6 linked regions of the Oryctolagus cuniculus genome follow. The protein of the gene in region 2 binds, or shares a complex with, the protein of the main gene of each other region. Links are inferred from orthologs where the notes say so. Each region holds a gene or a part of one and is shown on either strand. Other genes may lie near its edges.

What was found.
Region 1: SF3B3 (region 2) and HTATSF1 share a complex: the UniProt entries of both Homo sapiens proteins name them as parts of the 17S U2 SnRNP complex. The link is inferred for Oryctolagus cuniculus from reciprocal best matches to the Homo sapiens genes SF3B3 and HTATSF1.
Region 3: SF3B3 (region 2) and IK share a complex: the UniProt entries of both Homo sapiens proteins name them as parts of the spliceosome B complex. The link is inferred for Oryctolagus cuniculus from reciprocal best matches to the Homo sapiens genes SF3B3 and IK.
Region 4: the proteins of SF3B3 (region 2) and DDX42 are in contact, whole or in part, in a cryo-EM structure (PDB 7EVN), measured with the Homo sapiens proteins. The link is inferred for Oryctolagus cuniculus from reciprocal best matches to the Homo sapiens genes SF3B3 and DDX42. Residues at the interface, in NP_036558.3 of Homo sapiens: Glu159, Ala160, His161, Tyr211, His219, Val220, Val221, Arg222, Lys223; in NP_031398.2 of Homo sapiens: Lys145, Gly146, Ile147, Arg148, Asp149, Asp150.
Region 5: the proteins of SF3B3 (region 2) and PHF5A are in contact, whole or in part, in a crystal structure (PDB 7B91), measured with the Homo sapiens proteins. The link is inferred for Oryctolagus cuniculus from reciprocal best matches to the Homo sapiens genes SF3B3 and PHF5A. Residues at the interface, in NP_036558.3 of Homo sapiens: Gly85, Arg86, Gln104, Glu105, Thr106, Phe107, Gly108, Lys109, Ser110, Leu140, Ile154, Ser155, Ser156, Pro157, Glu159, Ser1162; in NP_116147.1 of Homo sapiens: Gln14, Ala15, Gly16, Val17, Arg44, Asp47, Glu79, Asp81, Arg82, Asp83.
Region 6: SF3B3 (region 2) and ZMAT2 share a complex: the UniProt entries of both Homo sapiens proteins name them as parts of the spliceosome B complex. The link is inferred for Oryctolagus cuniculus from reciprocal best matches to the Homo sapiens genes SF3B3 and ZMAT2.

Annotation. Positions count from the first base shown.
Region 1 is NC_091453.1:114,293,107-114,298,081, reverse strand, and holds the start of HTATSF1 (17S U2 SnRNP complex component HTATSF1), read right to left. Parts: upstream 3,424-4,975; 5' UTR 3,290-3,423; intron 3,041-3,289; 5' UTR 3,032-3,040; coding exon 2,846-3,031; intron 1,170-2,845; coding exon 989-1,169; intron 199-988; coding exon 151-198; intron 1-150. UniProt on the Homo sapiens protein: Component of the 17S U2 SnRNP complex of the spliceosome, a large ribonucleoprotein complex that removes introns from transcribed pre-mRNAs.
Region 2 is NC_091449.1:56,664,199-56,668,575, reverse strand, and holds part of SF3B3 (splicing factor 3B subunit 3), read left to right. Parts: intron 1-1,925; coding exon 1,926-2,081; intron 2,082-2,839; coding exon 2,840-2,995; intron 2,996-3,592; coding exon 3,593-3,736; intron 3,737-4,377. UniProt on the Homo sapiens protein: Component of the 17S U2 SnRNP complex of the spliceosome, a large ribonucleoprotein complex that removes introns from transcribed pre-mRNAs.
Region 3 is NC_091437.1:28,275,560-28,280,533, reverse strand, and holds the start of IK (protein Red), read right to left. Parts: upstream 3,024-4,974; 5' UTR 2,853-3,023; coding exon 2,837-2,852; intron 2,030-2,836; coding exon 1,963-2,029; intron 1-1,962. Other genes in the region: NDUFA2 (NADH dehydrogenase [ubiquinone] 1 alpha subcomplex subunit 2), read left to right, coding at 3,092-3,279, 3,406-3,512, 4,730-4,821. UniProt on the Homo sapiens protein: Involved in pre-mRNA splicing as a component of the spliceosome. Auxiliary spliceosomal protein that regulates selection of alternative splice sites in a small set of target pre-mRNA species. Required for normal mitotic cell cycle progression.
Region 4 is NC_091448.1:14,944,855-14,949,751, forward strand, and holds the start of DDX42 (ATP-dependent RNA helicase DDX42), read right to left. Parts: upstream 3,014-4,897; 5' UTR 2,821-3,013; intron 1-2,820. UniProt on the Homo sapiens protein: ATP-dependent RNA helicase that binds to partially double-stranded RNAs (dsRNAs) in order to unwind RNA secondary structures. Unwinding is promoted in the presence of single-strand binding proteins.
Region 5 is NC_091442.1:117,486,273-117,491,244, forward strand, and holds the start of PHF5A (PHD finger-like domain-containing protein 5A), read right to left. Parts: upstream 3,376-4,972; 5' UTR 3,184-3,375; coding exon 3,132-3,183; intron 2,752-3,131; coding exon 2,728-2,751; intron 2,352-2,727; coding exon 2,185-2,351; intron 1-2,184. Other genes in the region: ACO2 (aconitate hydratase, mitochondrial), read left to right, coding at 3,670-3,759.
Region 6 is NC_091437.1:28,328,692-28,333,755, reverse strand, and holds the start of ZMAT2 (zinc finger matrin-type protein 2), read right to left. Parts: upstream 3,403-5,064; 5' UTR 3,275-3,402; coding exon 3,257-3,274; intron 2,925-3,256; coding exon 2,831-2,924; intron 1,380-2,830; coding exon 1,256-1,379; intron 1-1,255. Other genes in the region: HARS2 (histidine--tRNA ligase, mitochondrial), read right to left, coding at 4,810-4,869. UniProt on the Homo sapiens protein: Involved in pre-mRNA splicing as a component of the spliceosome.

The sequences.
Region 1 (4,975 bases), on a different chromosome or scaffold from region 2:
ATACTTAATGAATGTATACAGCTGAGCAACAACAACAAAGCACAGTGATAAGAAATGGACTTTAAAGAAACTGAAAACTAAAAATCACTTTGTAAGAAAACTGAACAACCAAGTATTCACTATCCCAAATTTGTTTAAAAGTATACAAACCAGACACATATACATTTGTATTTCTGTCTTCTTCAACATGAAACCATCCTAAAAATACAAATGAAATAAATATATAAAACTCAAGGTAATGTAAGATTTATATTATAAAATATATAAACAGTGGCAGTCTGTTGAAACTTACAAGAACTTTATCTTATTCTTAGAAAACTAAGACAAACTCATTTAAAGCACTACCCAGCTTTCCAAGTGTTTGAATCTTTTGACAGATGCAGTATTGTCTTAAAAAAAGGCCTGTTTATTTTGATTGTTGCTTATTATTTAGATTTTTGACTAGTACGTAATATTTGTACATTTTGAAATGTGTTATTTATTTTTATCTACTTGGAAAACAGAGAGAGATATCTTCCATCTGTTGTTTCATTCTTGAAATGTCCACAAACAAGGTTGGGCTGGGTCAGGCCAAAAACAGGAGTCCAGAATTCCTCCTAGTGTCCCACATGGGTAGCAGGGGCCCAAGGACTTGATCCGTCATCTGCTCCCCTCCAGAATACAGATACAGGAAGCTGAATCAGAAGCTGAGGAGCCACAACTTAAACTGACACTCTGATATGGGGTGCCGGGTTCCCAGTGGCAGCTTAACCTGCTGCACCACAATACCGATCCCTACTTAAACATTTTCATGGGCTATAGTAAAATTTTTCAATATACAAATAGAGCATAAACTAATCAAATCAGGTAATTATGAATCTGCCATTATTTAAATAAAAAAATCTTGCCATTTGTTCAAAGCTATTATAAATCTCCAAAAAGTAACTCTATGTATACATTCACACTTTTAAGTTTTTACACTCATATTCTGCAAGCTAGAACTACTTGCCTGACTCGGATTTTCTTTTTTCTCCCTTCTTTCTGGGATCAGTGGGTTCAGGAGTTTTTCTTTGTGGAGGTTCCTCAGCAATCCTAGTATTGACATCTTGTATGTTTGCCGTAGAACTAGATGCGCCATCATTAGAGAAGCCATAATTGGCCTGATATGTAGCAATGAAATCTTCAGTGATCTAAACAAGAAATTTAGTTCATGCACGTGTGTGCATACACATACAAACACATGCACAGAAATTCAGTTATTTCCACCCATAAACTTCAAACTGTGTCATATTACAGACTATTTGGCTATATAACTTACCATCGAAGACGCTGCGTGAATAATAATTGTAGTTGTAGTGATTAAAGTGTAAATCCAAGAATGGTCACCTGATACAAATACTTAAATTATCAAGACAAAAGTCTGTGGTACTAATAAAGCACTTTAAGTGATGTTGGTCCCTTTTCTAGTTGATGCATTTATAAATTACTACCTCTCCACAGTCTACTGACTAAGGCTACACATACATATAACAAAGGAAATACCAGGTAACAATACGACAGGATAACAACCTACAGTCAACTAATAAGCTAACCACAAAATCCACTTTTTTTACTGTATAGAAGCACACATATATTTCCACTTAATTATTCAATATGTGAATTCAAAGAGCACATAGAATGGAAGTGTGATGTGGCATACAAAGAATGAGACTCATAATTACAAAGCTAAATGATCATTTGAAATCTATCACTAATGAAATCACCATTTAGAATCAGAATCAATTCAGGGCAAATCCAACTAGTTTTGGGGGGAAAATGGACTATTATATAATGTTAGAAAAGTGCTTATAGCATCACACCAATTCAATCAACATTCAGTACACACATGAATGGGGAAAATTTAAAACTCAAAGTTTGAAGAGGTAAGGGCCTCAATAACACAAAAATGTAGAACGATAAATTAATCCACTACCAGACTACTGTTAAAAGTACTCAGAAGGCTGAAGAAAGCCAATTTGCCTCAAGCTGACACTACCTGTACTTTTGTAAAATAGCAAATTTTAAAAAGTTGGAGAACTTTCAATATATACAAATATAAAATGGGAAAGAAAAGTAGAAATGAAGACTTTTTCACAGATCAGTCTAATCACACAATGGAGACACGCTGTGTTTTGTTGGTTTGCATGTCTTGGTGTGCTATTAGTAGTCTTTCTGGCCTCCACAGGAGACTCAGAATAACAGAGTGCTTCTACAGCAAAGTTTACAGAACCAAGTTTCACTAGTTATGTTACTTCCAAGCAGAAATAAAATATCTAACAATTTCTCAGTACTCCAAACTAACATGCACACATCTTTTCCAACCATACTCTGCGCATCCCTCATTGTATTCTTGTGGATGTAAAGTTCAAACATAAATGCCTAAGGACAAACGCAGCAGGCAGAGAAAGCAAGGAGCAAACAAAGTTCATTCAGCACAAGTATATAAACAGCAACTTTTTGTAAACGAAGACATATGCTAAACGTGAATTCCTACGATAAGTGAGGTAAGCGAGGGCGGCTATCTGAGATGATCAGCTACAAAATTTTTTGTGTGTTTTTCCTCTTTGCAATAAAAAAGTCATCAATAGAATAGCCAACTGTGACCTTCACAGACAAAATAAAGCACGGAAAAGGCATTTAATACCCCATTCGAAAGATTTACGTTCCTTTACACATCAACTCTGCAAAAGACACAACAAAAACAAGCGTCACCATCCAGGGGGGTGAGGACCACAGACCTGACTGAGTGAGCACAGCAAATGTAAAAGTGCTCTGTGAAGCTGGCCAGGCGGCCCGCTCTGCAGTGGCGCCAGTGCTACTCGCTTACCTTGGGGAACCAAGCCTTCTTGTCTAGGTCCCACTCGTACGGGGTGTCAGCCGCCTGCTGCCCGAAAGAATCGGGTTCTCCGCCGGGATCGTTCTGGGTGTCACCCTCCTTGGTGTCTCCGTACAATTCTTGCATTCGCAACTGCTCATCAAACTCGTCGTTCCCACCCAAGTTGTTGCCGCTCATGTTTCCTACCTAGCCCAGAAGCAGGGTTCAGACGAGCGAAGAGGCCGAAATGACGCCAGAGAGGGGATCTGAGAAGGAGGTCGGCCGTGCTCCGCTCCCGCCCCGCGGCCCCCCGGCCCGCCTCCCCACGGCGCCCCAGCAATCCCCGGGAAGTCGGGACCGCTCGCCGCCGCGCCGCCCCTCGCTCCGCGCGGCTGTCCGCCCGCCCACTGCGCGCGCGCGCGCCGATCCTCTCAGCTCGGCTCCGCCACCGCCCACCTGGCTTGAACCACCGGGCCTCGGCGGCGCCGCCGCTCGGTCCAGGGCGCGGCGAGAGCGCGCACGCGCGCCGCCGCCACCGCCGCTCGGGTCTGAGACGACTGCAATTCTCGCGGCAGCGTCAGGAAATGACTTCAAACGGAGCCCTCCTCAGGCTGACGCAGTCGCCATTGTGGGCGCGGTGTGACGTCCTGTGTCGCGCCGACACGCCTACCATGACGTCAAAAGGTGCCGACGAAGGCCTGAGGCGCAGGGTCCGGAGGGGCGGGGCGCCAAGGAATGCGCGGCTGTCGTGCGTTGATGACCACCAGGCCCTTCCTGTGGACGAGATGAGGTCCTTTAGGGCAATGCAGTCCCTTGGGGGCCTTAGGCCCCGTGGGTCTTCGGAAGGTTCGGCCTGGCTGACCTAGTCCGGGCGGTACCCCAAAGGAAGGTGTGGGAATACTGCCTTGCAGTGGGCGCCATCTTGGGGGAGTGGGTGGGACCGGCAGGACAGGTTTCTCTCGCTTCCTTAAAACGCAAAAACGTCGCGTCTCCGTCGCCCAAAAACTCTTCCCTGCTTCGGTGTCATGTCTTTTACTTATTTGTTTCTGATTGCCCTGGGATAGGCTCCGGCTCTGGCTCATCTTGGTAGCCTAATCACCTGCTGCAGGATTTGCTGTCTAGTGTGCAGTGACTGAATGAACGAACAAACCAAGGATAAGCACAAGGATCAACCTTTGCCTAATCTCAGACTCCTGTTTGATCGTCTCATGCCTTCCTCTGGACGAAGAGTTGGACTCTGCCTGCCTCGTCCTCCAGGATTCAGAAGTGCTCAAGCCCCAAACTTGAAACGTAAACATAAACATCCCAGTGTAAACACAACCTGTGCTGGCCCAGTAACTTTGTCTTTCCTTTAGAAAGATACAGCACGCTTTTGTTCTAAACAGAACTTTTTTTTTTCCCTGCAAATTACTTGCTTTGCTGAAAACGAAGAAGTCCATATTTGTCACTTGGTATAACAGTTATTGAACTAGTAAGTGTCAGGCAATGTACTAGGCTCTGGTGACTCAACAGTCAACAAGATGGGCACAGCTCGTGGGAAACAGGCTCAGGAAGGCTAATAAATCTGACAGGAGAGGTATGGGGTGCCAGAGACAGTGGTTCTCAAACTTTCTGATCACAGGATCGCTTTACTCCCCCAAAATACTGAAGAGTCCAAAGAGTTTTTGTTTATATGGTTTATATTTACCATTATTTCCAAAACAGTCATTTTAATGAGTATTTATTAGTCCATTTAAAAATGACAGCCCGTTAGGTGTTCATTGAGGATGGAGAAAAGCTCCTCAGAAAAAATTATTTCTACTATTCCAGTGACATTTGCTTCGAAACTTAGCAGCTGAGTATGAATTCTAGAAAATCCTGGCTCCTCACATGCCAACTGTGTGAATCCATGTTTCAACCATAACCATAGTTTTTGAAATAGTAGTTTGGGTTTGTATTTGTTTATATTTTTGTTTTAAGTACATTTCTGTTTCATTACATTCTTGTTCTGGTCAGAACTATTGGAGAACTGAACTTGCAGGCATTTTCATAATATAGATAATGTGAGTTTTATTGGGCTCATTTAAACATTGCTAAGTATATCTTCTTGGATCCAAAAATAGTATACAGTTGTTTTCAGCAATGTGTTATTGGGCTCCCGTT
Region 2 (4,377 bases):
CCGAAGTGGAGCAGCAGAGACTCAAAGCAGTGCCCGTGTGGGATGCTGGCACTGCAAGCTAGGGCTTTAAACCACTGCACCCCATCACCGGCCCTTATTTTATTTTATTTTATTTTATTTAAAGATTGATTTATTTGGGCCTGGTGCTGTGGCATAGTGGGTAAAAGCCACCACCTGCAGTGTTGGCATCCCATATTGGCGCCAATTCAAGTCCCAGCTGCTCCACTTCAGGTCCAGCTCTCTGCTGTGGCCTGGGAATGCAGTAGGAGATGGCCCATGTCCTTGTGCCCCTGCACCTGCATGGGCCAGAATCTCCTGGCTTCTGGTTTCAGATCGGCACAGCTCTGGCCATTGCGGCCAATTCGGGAGTAAACCAGGCGGATGGAAGACCTCTCTCTTCCTCTCCTCTCTGTGTAACTCTGGCTTTCAAATAAATAAATAAATCTTTTTTTTTTTTTTTTTTTTTTAATTTATTTACTTCATTGGCAGAGTTACAGACAAAGAAAGGGAGAGAGAGAGAGATCTTCCATCTACTGTTCGCTCCCCAAATGGCTGCAGTGCCCAGATCTGGGCCAATCCCAAGCCTAGAGCCAGGAGGCCCAGAGCTGCCTCAGGGTCTCCTGTGCAGGTGCAGAGGCCCAAGCACTTGGCCCTTCTTTATTGCTTTCCCAGGCCATAAGCAGAGAGCCTGATCAGAAAAAGATCAGCTGGGACTTGAGCTCTTGCCCATATGGGATGTCAGTGCTGCAAGTGGATGCGTAAACTACTACGCCACAGCGCCGACCCCAGTTCTTTCAGATTTTAAATAATTCAGCTTTTTGGCTGGCACCGCAGCTCAATAAGCTAATCCTCCGCCTGCCTGCAGCGCTGGCACACCGGGTTCTAGTCCCGGTCGGGGCGCTGGATTCTGTCCCGTTTGCCCCTCTTCCAGGCCAGCTCTCTGCTGTGGCCACGGAGTGCAGTGGAGGATGGCCCAAGTGCTTGGGCCCTGCACCCCATGGGAGACCAGGAGAAGCACCTGGCTCCTGCCATCGGATCAATGCGGTGCGCCGGCCGCAGCGGCCATTGGAGGGTGAACCAACGGCAAAGGAAGACCTTTGTCTCTCTCTCTCTCTCACTGTCCACTCTGCCTGTCAAAAAAAAATAATAATAATCCAGTTTTAGAATTTTGGTGCATGACATCCTTTCTGCCATTTCTATGTTACTGACACATACCATAAATGCTTTCATTTTTATCAAAGAGGGTTTTTTTTTTTTTTAAAGAAACTGTTCTCTTTTTTTTTTAAGATTTTATTTATTTGAGTGGTAGAGTTACAGATAGTGAAAGGGAGAGACAGAAAAAGTCTTTCATCCGCTGATTCATTCCTCAAAACAGCTGCAGCAGTCAGAGATGGGCCGACCTGAAACTAGGAACTTCTTTCAGGTCTCCCACGTAGGTGCAGGGGCCCAAGGCTTGTGCCAAATTGAACTGCTTTTCCAGGTTATAGCAGAGAGCTGGATTGAAAGAGGAGCAGCTGGGATTAGAACCAGTGCTCATATGGGATGCTGGTGCTGGAGGTGGAGAATCAACCTACTGCACCACAGCACTAGCCCCAATAGTTTTTTTTCTAATACATTATTTTTCATCTTCCTTTCTTTTTTGAAACAGAGTTAGAGAAATTTTCCATATGCTGGTTTACTCCCCAAATGGCTGCAATGGTTGGTGCTGGTCCAGGCCAAAGCCAGGAACCTGGAACTATATCTGGGCCCCTTATGTGGTGGGTGCCAGGCTCTTGGCATCTTCCACCACCTTCCTTGGTGCTTTTGTAGTTTACTCTTCATGGGCTTCACATTCAATGTCTTAACATCTCCTTTGGGTAAGGATGGGGTATCAGATCTGATAGGTGTTGCAGGTTGTTGTCAGTGATGAGTGTTTTTGCCTCTAGGTGTACCCAGATGGCATTCGGCACATACGGGCAGACAAGAGAGTCAACGAGTGGAAGACTCCTGGAAAGAAGACAATTGTGAAGTGTGCGGTGAACCAGCGACAAGTGGTGATTGCCCTGACAGGAGGAGAGCTGGTCTATTTTGAGATGGATCCTGTATGTTATTTTTATCATCCACTGTGGGAGTTGTAGTCCAGGCATCTATATTATATTCACAAAAAGTATTGAGGAGTGAAAGTGTCCATTAGCAAACCAGGCATTTTTATAGAAAAGAGGAAAGAATAAGGTGATACCTAATTCTAATTAGAATTAGAAATATCTTCTTAGCAATGAGACAGTTGTCTTAATGCAGTTCGCACTCTACTTTTCCAACTGAAGTTTGGCATAGATTTGTGTCTGCAATCTGAATTTGTGTCTGAGTTGTTCCTTTGCTCTTCTAATATGGAAGGATGGTAGATAACTCTGTCTCTCTCTCTCTCTTTTTTTTTTTTTTTTTTTTTTTTTTTTGCTCTTAGGAAATCTCCAACATAGCCAGTTTTCATAGTCTTAGTGTTTGTTACAGCTTTGTGTTTATCACATATGAATTCCTTTCGCTCAAGGTTTTCTCATGAATGAGCAGTTTTTGTTTCTTGACAGCTGGTTTGCTTAGAAAATTTGTGGTACATTGAACTTGTCAAAGGTCTCTTGATTGTCTTGTCAGTGGGAGAAAGTAATTTTGTTTATGGTTAGCTTATGAAGTTCAATCTTTGGCTCTTGGGTTGGGAAATTCTTGGATGTCTCTATTTAGAGTAATGAAAGAAAGCTGAAAGAAACCTTAAACAGTCTGCTTCCCTTCCTGTCTCCTGGGTGTAGGGTTTGTGGGTGAATTAGGGTATTTCTTTCGCCCTGTACTTTGTGACCTTTCCTTTCTCTAGTCAGGACAGCTGAATGAGTACACAGAACGGAAAGAGATGTCAGCAGATGTGGTGTGCATGAGTCTGGCCAATGTGCCTCCTGGAGAACAGCGGTCTCGTTTCCTGGCTGTGGGACTGGTAGACAATACTGTCCGAATTATCTCCCTGGACCCCTCGGTGAGTGATGCCCTTGTATTCAAGGATCTTCTGGTTTAACCCGAGTACCTGGCCTGTGCATGGTGTCTCTTGAGATTAGCAGGACTGGGCTCCACAGTCTATGTTGCTATGTCTATTGGTTACCATTGCAACATAGCCCAGGCATCCTCCGCTGTGGTTTGAGGATGCTCAACTGAGACTATGAGATATTTCTTTGGCATAAGCTTTGGTTTCCCTGTGTAGTTTTTTAAAAATCAGCAAAGAAGCTTAAAGAAACCAAACAGTTGCTTTCCCCTCTGGATATAGGATCTCGGGCTGAGTTGGGTATGTTTTATCCCTCTGTGTTTGCATAGGAGCAATTGACTTGCTCCAGGGCTTTTGATGGCTTTGAGGGAGGTGTCCTTTGCTTATTTACTCTTCCATTGTATGTTTTAACATAATAAGGCATGTTACTCTCAAAGCTTATGCCCAGATGTCCCCCCCCTTAGAAATCAGTCTTGGGGTTTTCTCTGCCCACTAGAGTACTTCAGTCCTAGAATTAGATTCCTCTTAGGGATGTCTTTCTAAAATTGATCATTTATTGTGATTTTTATGATTTTCTCTCCCTTCCCGCCCCAGGACTGTTTGCAACCTCTGAGCATGCAGGCTCTCCCAGCCCAGCCTGAGTCCTTGTGTATTGTGGAAATGGGGGGAACGGAGAAGCAGGATGAGCTGGGTGAGAGGGGCTCTATTGGATTCCTATACTTGAATATTGGGCTACAGGTAAGAAATCCAGAAACTCACATTGTTGGTATCAGCCTGTCTGTAGGTTCCTTGTACTCCATTGTCCTACACAGGCATTTTTGTGCACTTGGTATCAGAGACTCAGTGTAGGAAAATGAATGGCATTGCTCTCCATTCCACTTTTCTCAGCTCTTTAATTAGAACAAATGAAACCTGAGGAATATTTGGAGAGAGAAAAAGTATTTGTAGAGCGTTCACATCTGACAGCGCTTTGCAGTTGCTACGAAGCCATTGCATTCTCAAGGTCACCTGTGAGTCCCATAGTAGTCAGCTCTTGAAATGAATTACCTCACAGATCACAATTGGCTGCGTTAGTAAGGACCTATACGTGTTCCCTGTTGTCAAACTAGCCTGAGCTCTTCTTGCCAAAGAACAGCAGAAACCTAATGATCAGAGTCGAGGTTTTTGATAGCGTTTTTTATTTTCCTTAATGCTTATTTACTCAGCAATTTTATCTAGCCCAGGTACTTTCTGGTTTTTAATTTTACTTTCTAATCTAGAAATCCTCAAACATAGAAATTAGAGACACTAGGAGCCAGTGCTGTGGTGTACTAGGTTAATCCTCTGCTTGCAGTGCAGGCGTCCCATATGAGTGCTGGTTTGAGTCCTGGCAGCTCCTC
Region 3 (4,974 bases), on a different chromosome or scaffold from region 2:
ATCTGGGGAGTGAACCAGCAGATGGAAGACCTCTCTCTCTGTCTCTACCTCTCTCTGTAGCTCTTTCAAATAAATAAAATAAATCTTAAAAAAAAAAACACACACACACACACACACAGGATTTGCAGTCCAAGCTCTAGTCAAAAACAAGACTCCTGGGTTCTTTGTCACTGCCACAAAAATCTTTCTCCAATGGTTACCTCTAAGAAACAGACCAGAATTGGGGATGTTATCAATTACAACTTTACCTTTAATTCCTATACTTTATTTAAAAAAAAAAAGATTTATTTATTTATTTGAAAGTCGGAGTTACACAGAGAAGGAGAGGCAGAGAGAGACAGAGACAGACACAGAGACAGAGAGAGGTCTTCCATCTGCTGGTTTACTCCCCAATTGGCTGCAGCGCCCAGAGCTGCACTGATCCGAAGCCAGGAGCCAGGAGCTTCTTCCAGGTCTCCCATGCAGGTGCAGGGGTCCAAGGACTTGGGCCACCTTCTACTGCCTTCCCAGCCCATAGCAGAAGAGCTGGATCACAAGCAGAGCAGCCAGATCTTGAACCGGTGACCATATGAGATGCTGGCACTGCAGGCAGCGGCTTTTCCCACTATACCACAGTGCTAGCCTTCCTATAGTTTAATATTCTATGAGAGGAATTAATTCCTGTATAATGTCTAATCAAACAACATTTAAAAATCTAGCACTGGTGGCCGGCGCCGCGGCTCACTAGGCTAATCCTCCGCCTAGCGGCGCCGGCACACCGGGTTCTAGTCCCAGTCGGGGCGCCGGATTCTGTCCCGGTTGCCCCTCTTCCAGGCCAGCTCTCTGCTGTGGCCAGGGAGTGCAGTGGAGGATGGCCCAGGTGTTTGGGCCCTGCACCCCATGGGAGACCAGGAAAAGCACCTGGCACCTGGCTCCTGCCATCGGATCAGCGCGGTGCGCCGGCCGCAGCGCGCCGGCCGCGGCGGCCATTGGAGGGTGAACCAACGGCAAAGGAAGACCTTTCTCTCTGTTTCTCTCTCTCTCACTGTCCACTCTGCCTGTCAAAAAAAAAAAAAAAAAAAAATCTAGCACTGGGGCTGTCCCTGTGGTGCAGCGAGTTAAAGCCCTAGCCTGCAGTGCCAGCAGCCCATATGGGCACCAGTTTGCATCCCAACTGCTCCACTTCTAATCCAGTTCTCTGCTAATGAGCCAGGAAAGCAGTGGAGGATGGCCCAAGTCCTTGGGCTCCTGCACCCGCATGGGAGACCAGAAGAGACTTCAAGCTCCTGGATCAGCTCAGCTCTGGCCATTGCAGCCATTTGAGGACTGAACCAGCTGTTGGAAGACCAATCTTTCTCTGTCTATATCTCTCTTTGTAACTCTTCCAAATAAATAAAATACATCTTTATTTAAAAAAAAAAAAAAAAAAAAAAAAAAACTAGCACCTGGGGCCAGCATTTGGCATAGCAGGTAAAAGCTGTCACCTGCAATGCTGGTATCCCATATGGGCACTGGTTCATGTCCCAGCTGCTCCACTTCCGATCCAGCTCCCTGCTGATGGCCTGGGAAAAGCAGCAGCAGATGACCCAAATGCGTGGGTCCATGTTACCCAAGTAAGAGCTGGATTAAGTTCCTGGCTTCCGCCTAGCCCAGCGCTGGTGGCTGTAGCCACCTGGGCAGATAATCAGAGGGTGAAAAATCTCTCTTCTATGTCTCTACCTCTGTCACTCTTCAATCCCTTCAAAATACATCAAGGAAACTTAAAAAAAAAAATACTAGCACCTTCCATGCTAGAACTGATTGAATTATCTTTTGTGGTTGGCCTGTCCCAGTTAAGGTTCATAGTGATAAAAGGCCAAGTGGTACTATTTTTGGACTATTCTTGTTGATAAGAAATTCACAATTCTTTCACCCTCTCACCGCTACTCCATTCCACCGTTGCTCAGCGTATTCCTTTCTCTGGCCTTACAACAAAATACTCACTGATGGAAGGAGTGAGGATCGTCCACATCATGGCCATCTGGGGCCAAAGGATTGGAGAACGGCTCGCCTATCGAAAAGAATTGACATTAATTTAATTTCATGCGTCAGGTCCTGTGTCAAAATGGGAATGCAGTGGTGAAGAACACAGCAGAAACCTAAGAACAGCGATGGCGTCAATATAATGTACTAAGTCCTGACATGGGGGAAGCTGTGGTAACGCAGAGCGGCCCCTAAACCCGCGCTGGCTGGTCAACAAAGGTTTCCTGAAGATCACATCTAAAATACTACGTGAAAAAGGAGGCTGGCGCCGTGGCTCACTAGGCTAATCCTCCGCCTTGCGGCACACCGGGTTCTAGTCCCGGTCAGGGCACCGAATTCTGTCCCGGTTGCCCCTCTTCCAGGCCAGCTCTCTGCTGTGGCCCGGGAAGGCAGTGGAGGATGGCCCAAGTGCTTGGGCCCTGCACCCCATGGGAGACCAGGAGAAGCACCTGGCTCCTGCCGTGAGATCAGCGCGGTGCGCCAGCCGCAGCGCGCTGGCTGCAGCGGCCATTGGAGGGTGAACCAACGGCAAAGGAAGACCTTTCTCTCTGTCTCTCTCTCACTGTCCACTCTGCCTGTCAAAAAAAAAAAGAACAGACACAACCTAGGAGTAAATAAGGGGGCGGGGGAGGAAGGAGAGGCCACAGCCACAAGCTGTTCGTCCTCTCTGGGGGCAGCAACCAGGCTTGAGAACGGAGTCTGCAGCTGCTCAAAAGGCCCAAGAGCTTCGCTGGGCTGCAAGCCTCACATACACACCATCAAGCTCAGCAGCCGAGGTAAAGCGCCAAGTGCCCCGAGTCCCGCAGGGAAAAAAGGACAGATGACCCGAACTTACTATCTCGCTCCGGCATCTTGTCTCCTGCGTTTCAACGACAGCAAGAGCCTAATTTCCAACAACAACACCGTCGCAACAAGCCCTTCCCACAGTGCACCTCGGAAATGAACCCACAGTGCTTTGTGTTCCGAGCCTTTCCGCTTCCTCCCTCTCGAATCCGTCCCACCCTGCGCACAGAGATGACCTCACTGCGGCCCTACAACGCTTTTTTGTCATTGGCTAAACCTTTACCCCGCCCTCTACATCGCCCAATCGATGGCGGAGGTTGGGGAGTCCGCTATTGGTCCGACTAGAGAACTTGGCCGGAAGTACCTGCCTTGGGGGTCTTCAGTAGCAGCGGAGATGGCGGCAGCCGCAGCGACCCGAGGGGTCGGGGCAAAACTGGGGCTGCGTGAGATTCGCATCCACTTATGTCAGCGCTCGCCCGGGAGCCAGGGCGTCAGGTGAGGCGTGGCGTGGTGAGGCAAGCAGGCGGGCGGGCTTCGGGACGCCGGGGTCACGACCTCGACCTCCCAGTGTTTGGGCAGGACTGTGCCCACAGCACGCGCGGCGCTCTCCCGGCCCCACAGGGACTTCATCGAGAAACGCTACGTGGAGCTGAAGAAGGCAAACCCCGACCTACCCATCCTAATCCGTGAATGCTCCGACGTGCAGCCCAAACTGTGGGCCCGTTACGGTGAGCGCGGGATGCCGGGGGTAAAAAAAGAGAAGGGGCCGCCCAGAGTGAGGCAGAAACCTGCGAAGAGACAGGAATTTGGACTCTGGCCTTGCTGTTGACCTTGTTGCCAGTGAGGGAATTGAAATTCGCAGGGTTCATGTGATGCTCTGTAGCCTAGACAACATCCACTTGGACGTGGTCGAGGCCTGCGCGGGGACCAGGAGCTGTCATTTCTGTGGTTCAGAGCCGACTTCAGATAGGAGACGCTCAGCGGTGTAGGGCCTTCCCAACTGCGTGTGGCCGGTGCCGCTCCAAGTGGTGTGAGCGTCCCCGTGACGTTGGACGCGTAATGCCATCCATCCCTGTGCTGAGTGGCTTCTACCTAACTTAAGGCTCACTTTAGTTCGTTAATCACGAGGGGATTTTTTTCTTATTGCAGAGATTGGAAACCGAATCAGAACTGTCCAGAGCACAGCTAAAGCTCTGCAGCTAGGATAGAACGTGGTAGATGCGTTACCTTTGTTCCTTTTTCCGGGAACGCACTAGGTCTCCATGACTGGCCCCTTGTTAGGTTGTTGTGATTTGGGTTGGATGGATGTATTACCACCTTAAAAAGACATTCCCTGCCCATGTTATATTGCTCCAGCCCCTTATCGTATTACCCCATTCTAGTTTATTGCAATCTGGAAATTTCTTAGCATGTTGCCTAATACATAGTAGTTATGCAGTATTTATGTGAACTGAATCGTGGGATTTTAATCATAGCTTGTAACTCCACCCCGCCCTAGGGATATCATGTGCTGGGGGAGAGGCAGATTTGTTCTTACTGTAGTGTGCCATGCACTAATAATTGAAGGGAAAAAAGTTCACATTCCAAAAGTCAGTATAGAGACAGAGAGACTAGTATATTATGCTAGTGAAGAATGGGTGCCCAGCCAAGGCTGGGCCTACACAGTACACTGCTCATGGTAGTTAAAAATAAACATCTACAGTGTCCCTTTAAAGCCTCCCTGGAACACTTTCAGTCTCATCGTGGCTGCCCAGAATCAGCCAAGATTGTATTTGAAACTGGGCTTCCTGAGTTTGGGACCCACTGGATTAATCCCAGTCATACCCACTCTCCCTTGGTCATGTTCCTTTACCACTCTTCCCATCCTAACAAGATCGTAAGATAGAGACTTTTATGCTTGTGCACAGTTGACTCTTCAAGCCACTTCTCTATCTCCCCTACACAGCATTTGGCCAAGAGAAGAATGTCTCTTTGAACAACTTCAGTGCTGATCAGGTAACCAGAGCCCTGGAGAATGTGCTAAGTGGCAAGGCCTGAAACTGCCAGAGGAAGAGCCCCAGAACTTGGGCTCTACTGGACTGAGTACAGGATGGAAAACCGTGTTCTGTATAAAGTTGTGCTATGAAATGCTCAGAGTGTTCTTGTCCTCTCTCGACCCTCTAGCCCATTTTGTGCAACCAAGGCAAAACA
Region 4 (4,897 bases), on a different chromosome or scaffold from region 2:
CCAGAGAAGTGGTATCACATTCCTCAAACTCCCTTTTTGGTCTTAAACACCTGATGTTTAATAATTTGTGTTCTTGTTTTATTCCTCCAACTGGCTCAAGCTTCTTTAGAAAATCCCATACAGCATGTTTTCCAGTGTAGGTGCTCTTTATTCATGTTTCTTCAATATACAGGAGACTCAAGAAGACACAGAACTTGGCTGATCAGAAAAATTTAAGAAGGCAACAGTCCTACTTGGAGTAGTTCTAAGAGGAGAAGAGTAAAGCACAGACTAATTCCGTTCAAACTCTGGGTTAGCCACCAACTTAATGTGAACCCCAAGGAAACTGACTTCTCTGAGCCTCAGTTTCCGCATCTGTAAAATGGTGAGACTATCCCCTAACTAAAAGGTTAGAGTATGAAACGGAGTTCACACACAAGAACACACTTAACAACGCCTGGCACATAGTAAGTATGTATGTTAGCTGCCATTATGTTTATCAATACTTCTCTGGAAGCCAGTTTCTCCATCAGATCTCTTTCAACTCAATAATTTCATACCAAAGTCCCACAAAATACTGAAGATGTTAGAGATCGCTATGAGTTGACAAGTGAGGGTAAGCATCTTAAGGAAACTTGAACCCAGACAAAGCACAGAAATATACAAGTTAGGAAAAGATATGCAAAGGAGGGAACTAGTGAGGGCTAGGAAGTGAGACTAAGAGTAGAATACAAGATGGTAACTGTGTTTTGGGCAATGGTGGAAAATAAGACAGGATAAAGGCAGAAGACTTAGAGCAGGCATTTAACCCCAAATTCAAGAAACCCACGTCCCACACAGGCATCACCTGTTGTTTTATACTTGGCTTTGGTTCCTGATTCCAGCTTCCTACTAACGCAGACCCAAAGGGGCAGCAGTGGTTGGGTTCCTGCCACCTGTATGAGAGATCTGAATTGAGTTCCCACCTCCTGGCTTTGGTCTGGCCCAGCCCAAACCAGCTGTCCCAGGCATTTGGGGAGTGAACCAGCAGATGAGAACTAGCTCACTGTCTCCCTGATAATCAAAAGAAGAAGAAAAGAGTGGACTAGAAACATCTGATTATATCAACCATATCATCACTTGTATTTTCATAGCTGGGAGAATTACAGTGACAGTTGATTAGCAATTTCTCCACCTAATAATGAAAACGTTATCCTTGAGAACATCTGGCATGCTGTCAGTGCTTTAATGAGGATCTGTATAAAATTTAGAAATTTCATCATTCTCCTAAGGTCAAATGTAAGTAATTGCTGAGTTATAGTTATTTTAGAAGTATAACTATACCTTTAGAAGTATATTTTAGAAGTATACCTTAGCTTAAAGATCCAGAGTTGATTATACAACTATCATTGTGATAAAATGCAAATTTAAAGAACCATGCTAGTACTCTGCTAATACTACTATAACGTAAGCCAGACCTTATCACCCCTCGGCTCAAAAATTCTCAGATGGCTCCCATCCCACAGAAAGCAAAGGTGCAATCCTTCCATTAGCCTAAAAGGCCCTGGTTGTTCTGTCCATCCTCTTCCCTGCTTCCTTGACCTTATCTCCTGCTCCAAACACATGGATCTTTTTACTGTTCCTCCAACAAGCCAGCCTTGTCCTCCCCTTGTGCTCCCTGCTCCCTTCCCCAGATGCAGACAGGGCTCATCCCCTCACCTCCTCCAGTCGGTCTGTAAGGGGCTCCCTGACCGCGCCTGCAAACTGCAACATCCCTCACCCCCTTTCTAGCTTTACATCTTTGATCACGTTCCTAGCACACAGTCAGACACACGCAGGTCTCTCTTCTCCCCACTAGAAGGTAACTTTCATAGGGGCACAGGCTTTCCCTAACACCTAGAACACACTACGCACCAACTACAGCATTTCTTTAACGGATTACAAATTAGGACTAGGTAAATAATACTCCTTTTAGGTACGGGAAAATGCCACCTTCTTACCCAGCTTAAGGCCTGCAAATCATTTTTTTGTACAAAACACTTACTGCTCACCTTCTTTGTGCCAGAACTGGGCGTGGCTCTGAAAAGTTTCAGGGAATTAAGACCTAGGACCTGCCCTTTAGGAGCTCCTGGGTGTGTATATACTGGAGAGAACCCATACGGAAACATCATTTACAAGAACATGCAAGGCAGACACAGGAAAGTGAATGACAGCCTAAAAGAGTGGCGGCAAAGAGGAAAATGCCCCCTAAGGTGACAGGGAGCCTCCGATTTCCCCAAACTCTAACAGGTACACTAGTTTTTCTTACATTTCTTTGTACACATACTTGCTTTATTTACTCACATCAGGCAGACTCTAAATCTTAAGTAGGCCGCAAAAAACTTTGTGTGATGCTCATCACTGATCTACTCCAGACTGCAAAGAGCACCGACTGTGTCTTTCACAGTCGTCTGATCTGGAAACTTGGGACTGTCGGAAGCCCCCGACCTGGGCACCTGCATGTCCCGAATGACGCCAGCTTAGGGCAGACTCTCCCCGTGGCTCTCCCCGCATCGGAGCCCGGCACCCTGCAAATCCCTTCCCTCTCCCGGCAGGCGCCACCTCCGGAAAGCCGCCAACTGGGCCTCGCTCAGAGTTGAGAGAGAAGCGGGAGCCGCGGGAGGCAGACGCGGATCGCAAGGCTCCCTAAAGGCCTCAGCCCGCACTCCCACTCCTTCCCGGGCCCCCGCACGCCGCTGCCCGAGGCTCCGCCGACTCTTTGTTAAGCGAGGCCGCGGTTCCAGGTCTCTCGCTAGGCCCCACAGTTGCCTCCAGTGCCCCCAAGGGTTAGCGGCCGCGCGTCCCGACCCCGCTCGCACAAACCTGCTGCTAGGGCTGCAGCGGCAGCCGGTACCACAGCCGCCGCCGAGAGAATCCGACGGACCCAAGTACGCGCGGGCTGGACCCCGTCCCGCCGCGCTCCGCCCTCTCCGCCCCCTTCGCAGCCGCTGCCGCCGCCGCCGCCTCACGGCCCGTTGCTGACGGGGAGGGGGAGGGGAACGCTCGCCAGACATGCGCAGAGGGGAGAGTGCGGCCGAAGGGCGGGGCCTGAGGCTACGGCGCCGGAAGGCGTCCTGACTCCCCTTCTTTAAAGCTCCGGAATGGCTCGCGGCTCCTCACACCTTGACAGGAAACCGCTGCTTGGTGAAGAGCGCTTATGGCTTGCCTAGCAAGTGGATATGGAAATAAAAGAGTAGGGCTGTCAGACAACCACCCAGAGATCCCAAGTGAAAAGAGGCTTGGACGGAAACACTTTTATAAAAATGTCGATTCCCTTCACTGTGGTCCCTTCCAGACACAACTTGAGCAATATTTTTCCACACGGCTGTGACCACGTGGTCCCGTGCAGCATGGCCACCTTTTGCTTCCGGAGCACCGGTTCAGAGCGCCGTCACTCGACTGAACCCGGGCGGAGAGGGCTAGGGCCGGAGAGGGTAGTTCCGGCCCAGGGGCGGGGATTATGTAATTTTCCCAGCAGTCCCACCTCACCTCAAATGGGCGTGGGAGATAGAGCGCGGGCCCGCCCCCCAGCCGCGCGCAGGCGCCGACGGGCCGCACGCATTCTACGTAACGGACGGCGGAGGCTACGTGAAGAGTGGCGCGGCGTGACTGCGCTACCTTGTCCGCCAGGGTCCTGGAGGCGTCGCGGACAGGAAGACCGCGGCGGCGGTGGAGACAGTGGCCAGGCTGAGAGGCAGGCGGGTGGAAGTGGCGGCCGCAGGAGTGCTGGGCCGGGTTTTAGCCTCGGGCGCAGGTAGGTAGTGGCCTCTGACGTCTTCGTAGGTGCGGCCCGGCCAGGCCGAGCGGTGGCTGAGTTGCGTGGCCCGGAGCCCGGCCGGGTTTCTCAGCCAGCGAGCCCTGAAGTCCGGCCGGTGGTAACACGCACTGCACCCCGCGCCCTCAGACCTCTCCCGTCTTTGTATATTAAAAAAAAAGGGGGGGCCAAGAGAGTCGCGGTTCCCCCTTTCCTTGCCTGTTTTCTGTTGGCGGTTAGGGGCTGGGTAATTTTAGTGGTTTTCGGGATCTTTCCTGCAGCGCGGTGAGCCAATGCCGTAGCTGTAGAGGAATTCACAGGGTGCAGCAGGATCGGAGCTCGACATTAGACGAGTTGACTCTCCGTGCTGGAGAGAGACTGGACGACAGGCGCAGTCGTGTTTTTATCCAGCACGAGTAAGGATTCAGGATTGTCAGCGTGATTCCTGCGAGTCCCGTGTTGTGGCCGCCGGCAGGAAGGCCTCGTCTCTAATGGCAACACGGAGTGAGCGCTCCCATTCGCGTCCGGACTCAGCCGCTGGGCGACTACTGGGCCTGACTTGTTCCCCTGCACCCTTGTTGGAGACCGGGAGGCTGGCAGGGAGTCGTGCATTTGAGAAGTGAGTTGACAGGTGCAGCCCCAGAGACGGAGGAGGGAAGGCCGTGGCACAGATGGTGTGGATAACTTTAACCAAATAACCTTGGAGGAGCCCTGGTACAGAGCTGAGTTATCTTAGAAATGCTTCGGTGGTGTGGACATTCCAAGTGGAAACTGAGTTTAAAATGATCAGACCTTTGATTCGTCAGACTTAGTCACGTTGACTACACCAGTGTTAACCTTTTGTTGCTTCTGTCTGAAGAGCTTAAGACTAGGATCTGAAGAGGGAAACACTAAATTAAAAGACAGCTTTTTTTTTTTTTTTTAAGATTTATTTATTTAAAGTCAGAATTACACAGAGAGCAAAGGACAGGCAGAGAGAGAGAAAGATCTTCCATCCGCCGGTAACTCCTCAGTTGGCTGTACTGGAGAGAGCTAGGCCAATGCAAAGCCAGGAGCTTCTTCCGGGTCTCTCACGTGACTGCAGGGACCCAAGGACTTGGGCTGTCTTCCACTGCTGCTATCCCAGGCCACAGCAGAGAGCTGGAT
Region 5 (4,972 bases), on a different chromosome or scaffold from region 2:
CTCATTTTTAGAAAGAGGAACATGATTTGAAAGTCAAAGGTAAATGCAAATCAAGGTCGAGGGCAGGAAAATGTGCAAATCACCAACTGAAACAGAGTCTGACACTCTACTTACAGCCCTTCTCATCTCCATAAGCAACACATGATCTGATGGTGCAAGGAAGGATCTTGGGGGCTGGTGCTGTGGTGTAGCAGGTAAAGCTGCCACCCGCAGTGCTGGCGTCCTGGACCACTTCCAATCCAGCGTCCCTGCTAATGGCCTGGGAAAGCAGCGGGAGATGGCCCAGGTGCTTGTGCCCCTGCCACCCCCATGGGAGACCAGGATGAAACTCCTGGCTCTGGCCTGGCTCAGCCCTGTCCATTTTGGCCATCTGGGGAGTGAACCACTGGGTGGAAGATCTCTCTAACTCTGACTTTCAAATAAGTGAATAATGATTTTTGTTTGTTTATTTAAAAGTGGAGCAGTCAGGACTGCAAATGGTGTTCTGATATGGAATGTGGGCATCCAAGCAGCAGCTCAATCTGCCGCACAATCCCCACTGCCTTCGTCTTGAGAAGAAGCAGATTCGTGGGTCTGTATCAGTAAGAGCCCTGTTGCCAGTACTATTCTAAATATAAAGGACAGAACTTGCCCTTGGCGCCGATCCACAAGGCCTTTCCCTGGCATCTGGCTCAGTGAGTCAAATACCTCACTACTGCCACTACATAATGTCAAGGGACAAATGTCTGAGGCAGATGTGCAATCAATTCTGCAATATGAAACCAACACAGCATCCACTCATACACACACACCCATGTATATAATTATTTAAAGTCCGAGTTAGAGAGAGACAGAAATATTTCATCTGCTTGTTCACTTCCCAAATGGCCGGAGCTGGGCTGGTCCGAAGCCAGGAGCCGGGAGCTGCTTCCAGGTCTCCCATGTGGGTGCAGGGGCCCAAGCACCTGGGCCATCCTCCACTGCTTTTCCAGGCACATTAGCAGGGAGCTGGATTGGAAGTGGAGCAGCCAAATCGAACCAGCACCCATACGGGATGCAGCTCCGCAGGTGGCAGCTTTACTGGCTATACCACAGCACTGGCCCCAGCATTCATTCCTTAGCGACTTAAAGCTGAAATCAACTTGAACCATCCCATGGGCACAGTGCATTAAGGCTTACAACACTGCTATCCCATACCGGAGCGCAGGTTCATATCCTGGCTGCTCCACTTCTTTTTTTTTTTTTTTTTTTTGGACAGGCAGAGTGGACAGTGAGAGAGACAGAGAGAAAGGTCTTCCTTTGCCGTTGGTTCACCCTCCAATGGCTGCCGCGGCCGGCGCACCGCACTGATCCGATGGCAGGAGCCAGGAGCCAGGTGCTTTTCCTGGTCTCCCATGGGGTGCAGGGCCCAAGCACTTGGGCCATCCTCCACTGCACTCCCTGGCCACAGCAGAGAGCTGGCCTGGAAGAGGGGCAACCTGGACAGAATCCGGCGCCCCGACGGGGACTAGAACCCGGTGTGCCGGCGCCGCTAGGCGGAGGATTAGCCTAGTGAGCCGCGGCGCCGGCTAGCTGGCTGCTCCACTTCTGACCCAGCTCCCTGTTAGTGCGCCTGGGAAAGCAGCAACAGCCCCAGTACCTGGGTGCCTGTCACCGATGTGGGAGGCCCAGAGGGAGTTTCAAGTCCCTGGCTTCTGCCTGGCCCAGCACCAGCTGTTGCATGCATCTGGGGAGTGAACCAGCAGATGGAAGATCACTCTCCCTGTCATTCTGCCTTAAAAAAAAAAAAGTCGTATTCCTTAAGCAACAAAAAGCCAACTTGAACTGCCTCCATGTCAATGCTGCTATCACATCAGCCAACAGCCATGCTCGATCCAAGGAAAACACCGAGCAGCTAATGCACACCACGCGCTGTGCTAGGACTTAGCAAGTGCAGGAGGCTGCGTCTGCGTGAGTAATCAGACACCAAAGCCAGGAGGGACGGCGCTCCCAAACTGCTGGTGTCCACAAGGACTTGCTCCTGTTGCACTTCTGTCTTTGGTCCAGAATAGCTGCCCTTTCGCGGACCACACCCAGCCTGGCTCAGGGAACGTGAAGCCATTACAACCTGGGCGGCCAGCTGAACACAGGACCCTCCACCGGCCAGAGGAGACCGCTGTGGGCAGCCAAGCCTTGGGAGGCTCAGAGCACAGCCCAGACACTCACGTCCTTCTCCTGGATGGTGCACTCCTTGCAGTAGTAGGCGTCGGAGACCCCGGGGCCGCCGCAGATCACGCAGCGCCCCTGGTAGGAGCCGTAGTTGCATTCGTCACAGATGCGCACCAGGGTGCAGGGACGCACGTAGGAGTCACAGATCACACACTTGCCGTCACCTGCAAGCAGAGACCCGAGTCACGCTCCCTGCTGCGTACCTCGGCCTCCGTCTACGCCGGCATCCACTTCCATCTCCTCCACAGGTAATAATAATAATACTAACAGCAATAAAAAGCGGTCAACGAACACCTGTCAGGGCCCGAGAGCCGCACCAGGGAGGCCAGGAGCTGAGTGTGTGCAAGGGGCGGGTCCCCACGGCTCTGGGACCCTCCCCTCCAGAGCCCACAGATTTCCCCCAAGCATGCGGGAAGGCGGAGGGGCCCCGGCAGCAGCCTGGCGTTCGGCGTTCGCGCGCCCCCAGGCACATCTCCCCGAAGCCCCCCGGCGGCCACGGGAACCCTGGGTGGTGGGGGGCGGAAGGCGTGTTCCACTCACATTTCTCACACAGTCTTCCGATGGCTGCAAGAGAAACGCAAACAGCGTTAGAGCGAAGGCTTTGATCAAGAGGAGCTCCTGGGGCTGGGCGTCGGGGCGGGGGCGAGGACAGCAGAGCCCCGCGGGATGGCCCTTGTCTCACTACGGACTTGGATCTGAAGCGAAGCGCCCGGCGCCCGGCCCCGGCCCCGGCCCCTGGCCGCCTGATCCGACTCCCAGCACGTGCGCCCCCGGCGGGCCACAGCACAGGCCACGCACTGGCACGCTCCTACGATACCCGCGACCGCCGAGGCGGGAAACGGGGCTGCCCTGAGGCAGTATCCTAAGGATGGAGTGGAAGTCCCCGGGCCCCCCGCTCGAACAACCCCCCTATCCAGGCAGCCGAGGGCAAGGCGCTGTCTCACCTACACCGGCCTGCTTGCGGCAGAAGATCAAGTCCGGATGATGTTTGGCCATAGCCCCGACCCTAGCTTGCCACCGGAAGCTCCGGGAACTTCCGTCCGCCCTTTACCCCGCTCTTGTTCCTGCCTCCAGGTCGCCGTGATTGGTCGTCGAGGCTTCCATCAGCAAGTACAAGCTGCACCGAGTCTCGCTCGCTCTCGCGAGAGTTTCTGGAGCTGCGGGAGGCCAGGTCCTGGTAGGTTCATGTAAGTCTTAAAGTAAAAAAAAAAAAGCCTCCCAGACTTGGATGGCAGAGATAACCTAAATCTGCTCTTGGATATAACATCTTTGTTCGCGGTGTTTAATTATGCAAGTTTTTTATTTCGGTTTTTAGTTTACCGTATCCGTACGTACTTTCAGGCATATCTTCCTTTCACGTGTCCGTTTCTCATCCCTGAGCTCCTCCCACTGCGCTGGCAGCACTTTGGCGCCCCCTAGGGAAGCCCCGCCTCCACCATGACGTGTCGCTCTTCAGGCCACGCCCCTGGCCGTAGGCTATAAATGAGCCCGGTGGCACGTCACTTTCACGCGACCTCATCTTTGTCAGTGCACAAAATGGCGCCTTACAGCCTACTGGTGACCCGGCTGCAGGTGAGAGAGCTCAGGGCCCTGTGGGTTCACAGGGGCGGGGTGCCTCCTGCTATGCCCGCGGCAGTGGGCGAGGCAAGGCGAGGCGGGCGCGTCTTCGGGCTGACTTCGCGTGCCCGTCCGGGTTGCGGGCGTAAGTCGGTGCCCGCTCCCCCAGTGCCCTAGGTCAAGGCGTCCCCGGGCCGTCAGTCCCTCCCTGCCCGCTAGGCAGCGTGGGCCCAGTGAGTGGCGGCCGGTGCAGAGTAGAGACACCTTTCCCCCCTTTCCGAGGACGGCAGCCCTCGCTCCCGTGGGGTGACTTCCCGTTTCTCAAGGTGAGGGCAAGGTGACTTGGGGGGCGCCGTGGTTGTTGAGCGCTCTAGGCCCAGCGCCCGCCGCCCTCGCTCCCCGCTCCGCAGCGGGGGCCTGCGAGCCGAGTGCGTCCGCGGTTGCCGGGCTTCGAGGCTGGAGAGGAAGCGCTAGTCCCTTAATCCATTTCTGGGGACCCTCCCGATCGTGCAGCCGCGAATTCGAGGGGCTTTTCCGGCTGCCGGAGGTAGCGCGTAGTCAGCTTCTCAGCAGACTGCAGGGCTGCTGTATGCTGGTCGCTTCGTATACTCACCCGGTGAGACCGAAGTGGGTTGATCGGCTCGCCTGATGGCTGGGGGAAGCCGCCCCTCTGCTGCTGGTCAGCCTGCTCTCACCGAGCTGCGGTGCGCTTATTTGCACTTGCCAGACTACAGAATGGCGCGTCTGAGCTCAGAATTAGTTGCTTTTCAAGTCCTAGATAGACAGCTAAGGGGACCGAGCAGTCTGACCTTGAGGGCTCTGTTGGGAGCCGTCCGGAAGGCTGTGTCTGCCAGATGGCCTCTCACTCCTAACTTGACGTATTCAAAAGTTCAATGTCAAAATGTGTGTTTCGTTAATAAAAGTTAAGAAAGCAAGTGTCTGTAGACATTTTCTGTTAAACTTTTAGCCATCAGCTTTGTGAGTCTTTGGATCAAACAGCACAACTTGGTAGAATCAATAAAGAAGTTGAATGCGTACCCTCACATTGTGTTACTTTTCATCGCACCGCTGGAGTTCTAAACCATATGGCTTCAGGAAAATCATTTATTCCAGAATACTTTTGGTCTCAAATTCTGAGCAGAGGCGAGAGGTCTGAACTGAATTGTCTCTCCAGGTTATTGATGTAGAAACAGTTTGATCTAATGGAGTCAAGATTTTTTTTTTAAGA
Region 6 (5,064 bases), on a different chromosome or scaffold from region 2:
GCCACATAGAGACCCAGATGGAGTACCTGGCTCCCTGTTTTGGCCTGGCCTAGCCCTAATTATTGCAAGCAGTTGAAGAGTAAATCAGTATATAGAATCTCCCTCTTTCTCTGTCCCTCTGCCTTTCAAATACTCTATTTTTTTTTTTAAGTCTAAAATTTTATTTCCATAAAGCCTTAGCTCTTAATATCATGTAGTGGCCATCATCCAAAACAGCCTCCATAAGTCCCCTTCCTGGTGTTTCTACCCTGTGTAGTCTCCTTCCAATTTGTACCTGGGTTGGTTTGTGTGGTAAACAGATTATGTTCAAACTGATGACTGGTCACTTCTAAGGTTAGGTTTTAAAAACCACGGCTTCTATTTCTGTGTGAATCACTTGTTCTTGAAAAAGGCAGTTGCTCTGTTGTGAGCAGTCCTACAGAGAGGTTCATAGGGTGAAAGAACTTAGGCCTCCAAACCATAGGTTTGTGAGGGAGCTTGGAAGCAGTTCCTTCAGCCCACTTAAGCCCGAGATGAATGCAAACCTAGCCAACTCCTTGCTTGTAGCTCCATGAAAGACCCTAGAGCAAGAACCACTTAGGTAAGCCACTTCCAGATTCCACACCCACACACACTGTGAACTTTTTGTTTTATGCTGCTAAACCTTGGGTTCCCTTATTAATTTATGTATCCACGGACAGAACTACTGCAGAGAAGAATGATAGCCACTCAAAGAAGTTTCACTCATTGCTACCTATGCTGACCTCCTGCTTGAAGTCCTAACTGCACAGAGAAACAGTGGTGGCAAAAGAATGGCAAGATCTTGTGGGAACCTTCTTCCTATAGGTTACAGTCTGGGTCAGGGAGGAAGGTGCACAACCAGGTAATCCATAACAACGGCAGCCTTTGTGCCAGTCTGGAACCTCAGCCCTTTTTCTGCACCATTAACAGCTCCAAAGCCCCTCCTAGTTCCACCTATTTCTCTCCTAGAAATCAACAGACTCTCTCCTCCTTTCTTCTTCTAACAAAGAATTCCTTTGAAGATGTAAGGAGCAGTTACACTGCCAACATGAACAAGGCCACAGAGTGGCCACTTCTGGAGACACTAATTGTTAACCTAAGACCGTGAAGGACAAAGTAAAACAAACCAAAGAGTGAAATGATAGGCAGCAAGGTTATTATCCTGGGGTTAGGGATCCTCAACATTTCCTAAAACAAATATATATAGTTTCTTGGACCTACTACAGCTGTTTGGAAAGATAAAAAAACCACTTACCCTCCCATCTCAGACTGTGGGGTGGTCTTGGTAATGACAATTGTCTTGCCAAGCTTAGATTCCAGGTCCACTTTGTAGTCTCTGTGTCGCAGAAGTTCCCGCTTGACTGGCTGCACTGGTTTTCCTGAAACATAATGAAGAAAGTCCCTTCAATATTACAGTTATCAGTCAGAAAGGAAAATAAATGCATTAAACCCAAAATTAATGATTCCTGAAAAAAGGCCACAACAGGCACCTCCAGCAGCAGTCAGCAGTAGTGAGGGAGAATCTGAACACAAGAAAAATGATAAGCAATCCCTACTATCTACAGCTTTTCTCCACTTTAAAGCCAGCTAATCTACAAGCTACATGTTTTCTATTTATTGATTAACTGAGGGGAAAAGTTATGAATTCCCACTAAAAGCAGCCTTTTCAAAAGAGCAAGGACATATGAGTAAAAAAAAAAAAAGTGAATTCGGTGAGAAGAGGGAATAATTTGTCACTTATACATAGTTAGGAACAGATCCTTTAATTATCCGGCATACCCAAGAAAGTTTATTAGTTTCAAGTCAACCAAAAAAAGAGCAAGGACACTCAGGAATTCTTTACAGGCAGATACCCTACGCATAACACACAAATGGCCAAATTTTAAAAGGGGGGCCAATATTTAGGAAATATCTATTCACAGACCAAGTACATAATACAGAAAAACCAAGAGGGTGGGGCCTGTGTTGCAGCAGTGAGCTAAGCTGCCAGCAGCAACATGATCGTCCCTTACTGGAGTGCCTGCTAGACTCCTGGGCTGCTCTGCTTTTGATTCAGTTCCTTGATAATGTGCCTGGGAAAGCAGGGAAGATGGCCAGAGTTTGGGCTCCTGCCACTCATGTGGGAGACCCGGCGGGAGCTCCCAGCTCCTGGCTATTACAGCCATTTGGAGAGTGAACCAGCCAATGGAAGGGTTCAGTCTCCCTCTGTCAATCTGCCTTTCATATAAATAAATAAATGTTAAACAATAACAAAAACAGCATTGTTGGCCTGTGAAAAGTGGTGTGGGAGTAAATAGAACAACGTGAAAACAGATGAGAAAAAATCAGACACTTCTTTTCCCAAAGTGGGCGCTATCTAGGAGAGGAGCATCCACGACGTCCCTGATGTCGCACAAGGCGCAGAGAAACAGCACGAGCGAGCGCCAGCTCAAAGGATCGCACGTTCCAGGCAGTACCCCGCTTGCCTCCGGCTCTAAGAGTCCCAGCTGCGCCAGGAATGTTCTCCTCCCTCTGAAGAGCTCTCAAGGAAAAGAAGGTGTCTTTGAGAGCAGTAATGCCCACCAGCCAATCAGTCCACTGAGCTTCTCTGTCACTACTAAGAAGCCCGGTCTCTGTAACTCAGGAAAGCACCAAATGAGCCAACCAATGAAAACAAGCAAACAGAGAACAGAGCTGAAAAGCACCACAAAACCTCTTTATTTCAGACGCGGAGAAGCCGCGGGCCACTTTGCCAAAAGTGCCACCCTGTAGGAGGGCAGCCCATCCCAACTCTCCCGCCCACTGCATCGCCGCCGCGACACCCCGAGCCCTGGACAGAGCAGGCACCCACCATCCTTCTTCTCCCTCTCTTCCGTGAGCCTCTTCTCGGCAAGCTTTTCGTATTCATCTTTGTCCCACTTTCGGCGAAAGTCCAAGTTTTTTGTCTGTGGGGAAAGAAAGCGCTCAAGACATGTCGCTATCGCGTCTGGACCCCTAGAAAGTCTGAAGGAACCACGTCCGCACCGCCAAGGCGGCTCCAGGATTTTTGGAAAGCGAAAGCTCTCCGGCCCAGACCAAGAGGCTAAAGTGGCCTCAGGACCCCAACCCAAGAGAACTCCGCGGTTCCACAGACCCCACGCCTTACGGAATTCTCGAACCCGGACCCTAGGACCGCGAAGTGTTGGGAAGCCAGTCCGCTGCAGGAGCTTGTTTCTATTCAGCACTGAGAAGTAACCCCACCGCCCCCAAAAACCTCCTCCTCACACACAACACATACCCCGCTGCCCGACGCCATCTTCACAGCGAAGTGAATGGGAGGCCGGAAAATGCTGTAAAAAGAGGCCCGGAGCCGTAAAGCAAGTCGGCCCTCCAATAAGCTTAGAGTCTCGTATTCTGAACGGGCTAAGGACTGGAGGGCTTTCACAACAGACTTGTCGGCCCCGCCTCTGCTCCAAGGAGACGGCGCAGGCGCAAGAAAAGTACGAAGCAACACGGAAGTAAGGGCGCCTGCAAACGTTTTTTGTACCGGCTTTCAAAACAAGCGGTGAAGAGCCGACACGTTTAATTCAGGTTCTGAAAATGCCTCTTTCTCTAATCAACTTTGCGTGCATTGTCAAGAGTTTCTAAACCTTAAGTCCCAACTACTACTAGGGGCTTTAGATGTCTCATTCCCCTGCAGCTGCTAGGGATGGGGCCCTGAACCGCACTGAAGTGTTGGCAACGGCTGAACCTTCCCAGGCAGAGACGGAGAGCGCTTTTTGCACTAGGGCTCTCTTTCTCGAAACAGTACTATCACTCTGGTTAACTCATTTTTTCCTTCAACTATGGAACATCATAGGTCATTCAGTCTCTAGGAAACCATTTCCTCAATATGACTGGACACAAGGCGGCCAATCATCAGCAATAATCAGGTGAAGCACTCGGGCAGATGGCTCAGGACACGTTGATTTCTAGCAACATGACTATCAGCGAGTCGGGGTGTGGGGGGCAGGAGTGGAAGAAGGGGCTGTGGTTGCTCCGTGCACAGACTACACCTCAGGGAGGTTACTTCTAGCTCACAGAATTCTTCAGTCTAAATTGAAACAAGCCAATGACCTAGGCAAGCCAATCCCTTGATAACACATCACTCAAACTACCACATTTAATACTTTATTTAACAAATTATTTAACCACCTGTAGAAAAGCAGGGCATGGAATAGTCGGAGCATGACTCTGGCATAGGAAATAGTCTCCAAAAGCTCAGATCTCCAACTTGACAAGCCACCAATGAAATTCAACCCCACTATCATAAACAGTGGCTGGCGGAGACGACAGATCAACTTGGGCACTCCCGCCCTTAGGACAGCATCTCCGCCCTCAAGCGAAGAGCAGTCATTGCTTCTCCTTGCTTTCTTTACAAAACTCCTTGGACATATCCAGGGTTCGTTGAGGACAAATCCCCCAGATTCTGGTTCCAAAGCTGCTGTGGAAGGTCCAGTATCTGCCTTCTGATCTCGATGGTTCAGAATCCTCAGCCTGAGGTGGCTCTCCCAGAGCCGAGCCCTGCTCCCAGCAACCCCTCAGCACCTCTTGGTGGCATTTAGCAGCACTCCAAATTTGCTTCCACAGCTGGAAAATGTCTTTCACACCCCAGCCATCTGCACCCATGCAGAGCAGCTTCCCGTACCAGCCCAGGAGTCCTCAGGCCTTCTACAGTTCTGTATCCAGGAAGGATGGAGGAGGTAGAAGTGCTTGCCACCTATCCTGGCCAGCTATGCTGGAATCCAGCAGGAATTCTGGCCCAGATGAAATCTCTTCTACAAAGAGCAGCAGACGGCTTTCAAGCAAGGATCAAGACTCAGACAGTCGCTTCTGAATTTCAGTCACAAGATCTTCCCGTTTAACAGCCACCTGAAACATACGAGACCCCTGAAGTGACAAACTAGAAAGTGATACTCACTCTTTAATCACTGTTTTTTCAGATTCATTTTACTCTGCGTGTACTGTGGGCTTCACGGTAATCTGGAGAACATACATCCTCAAGACTAAAGGGATTTGTTTACTTTGTTGGTCAGTCTCAAAGCACCATTTTGTTTCTCCTTCTTT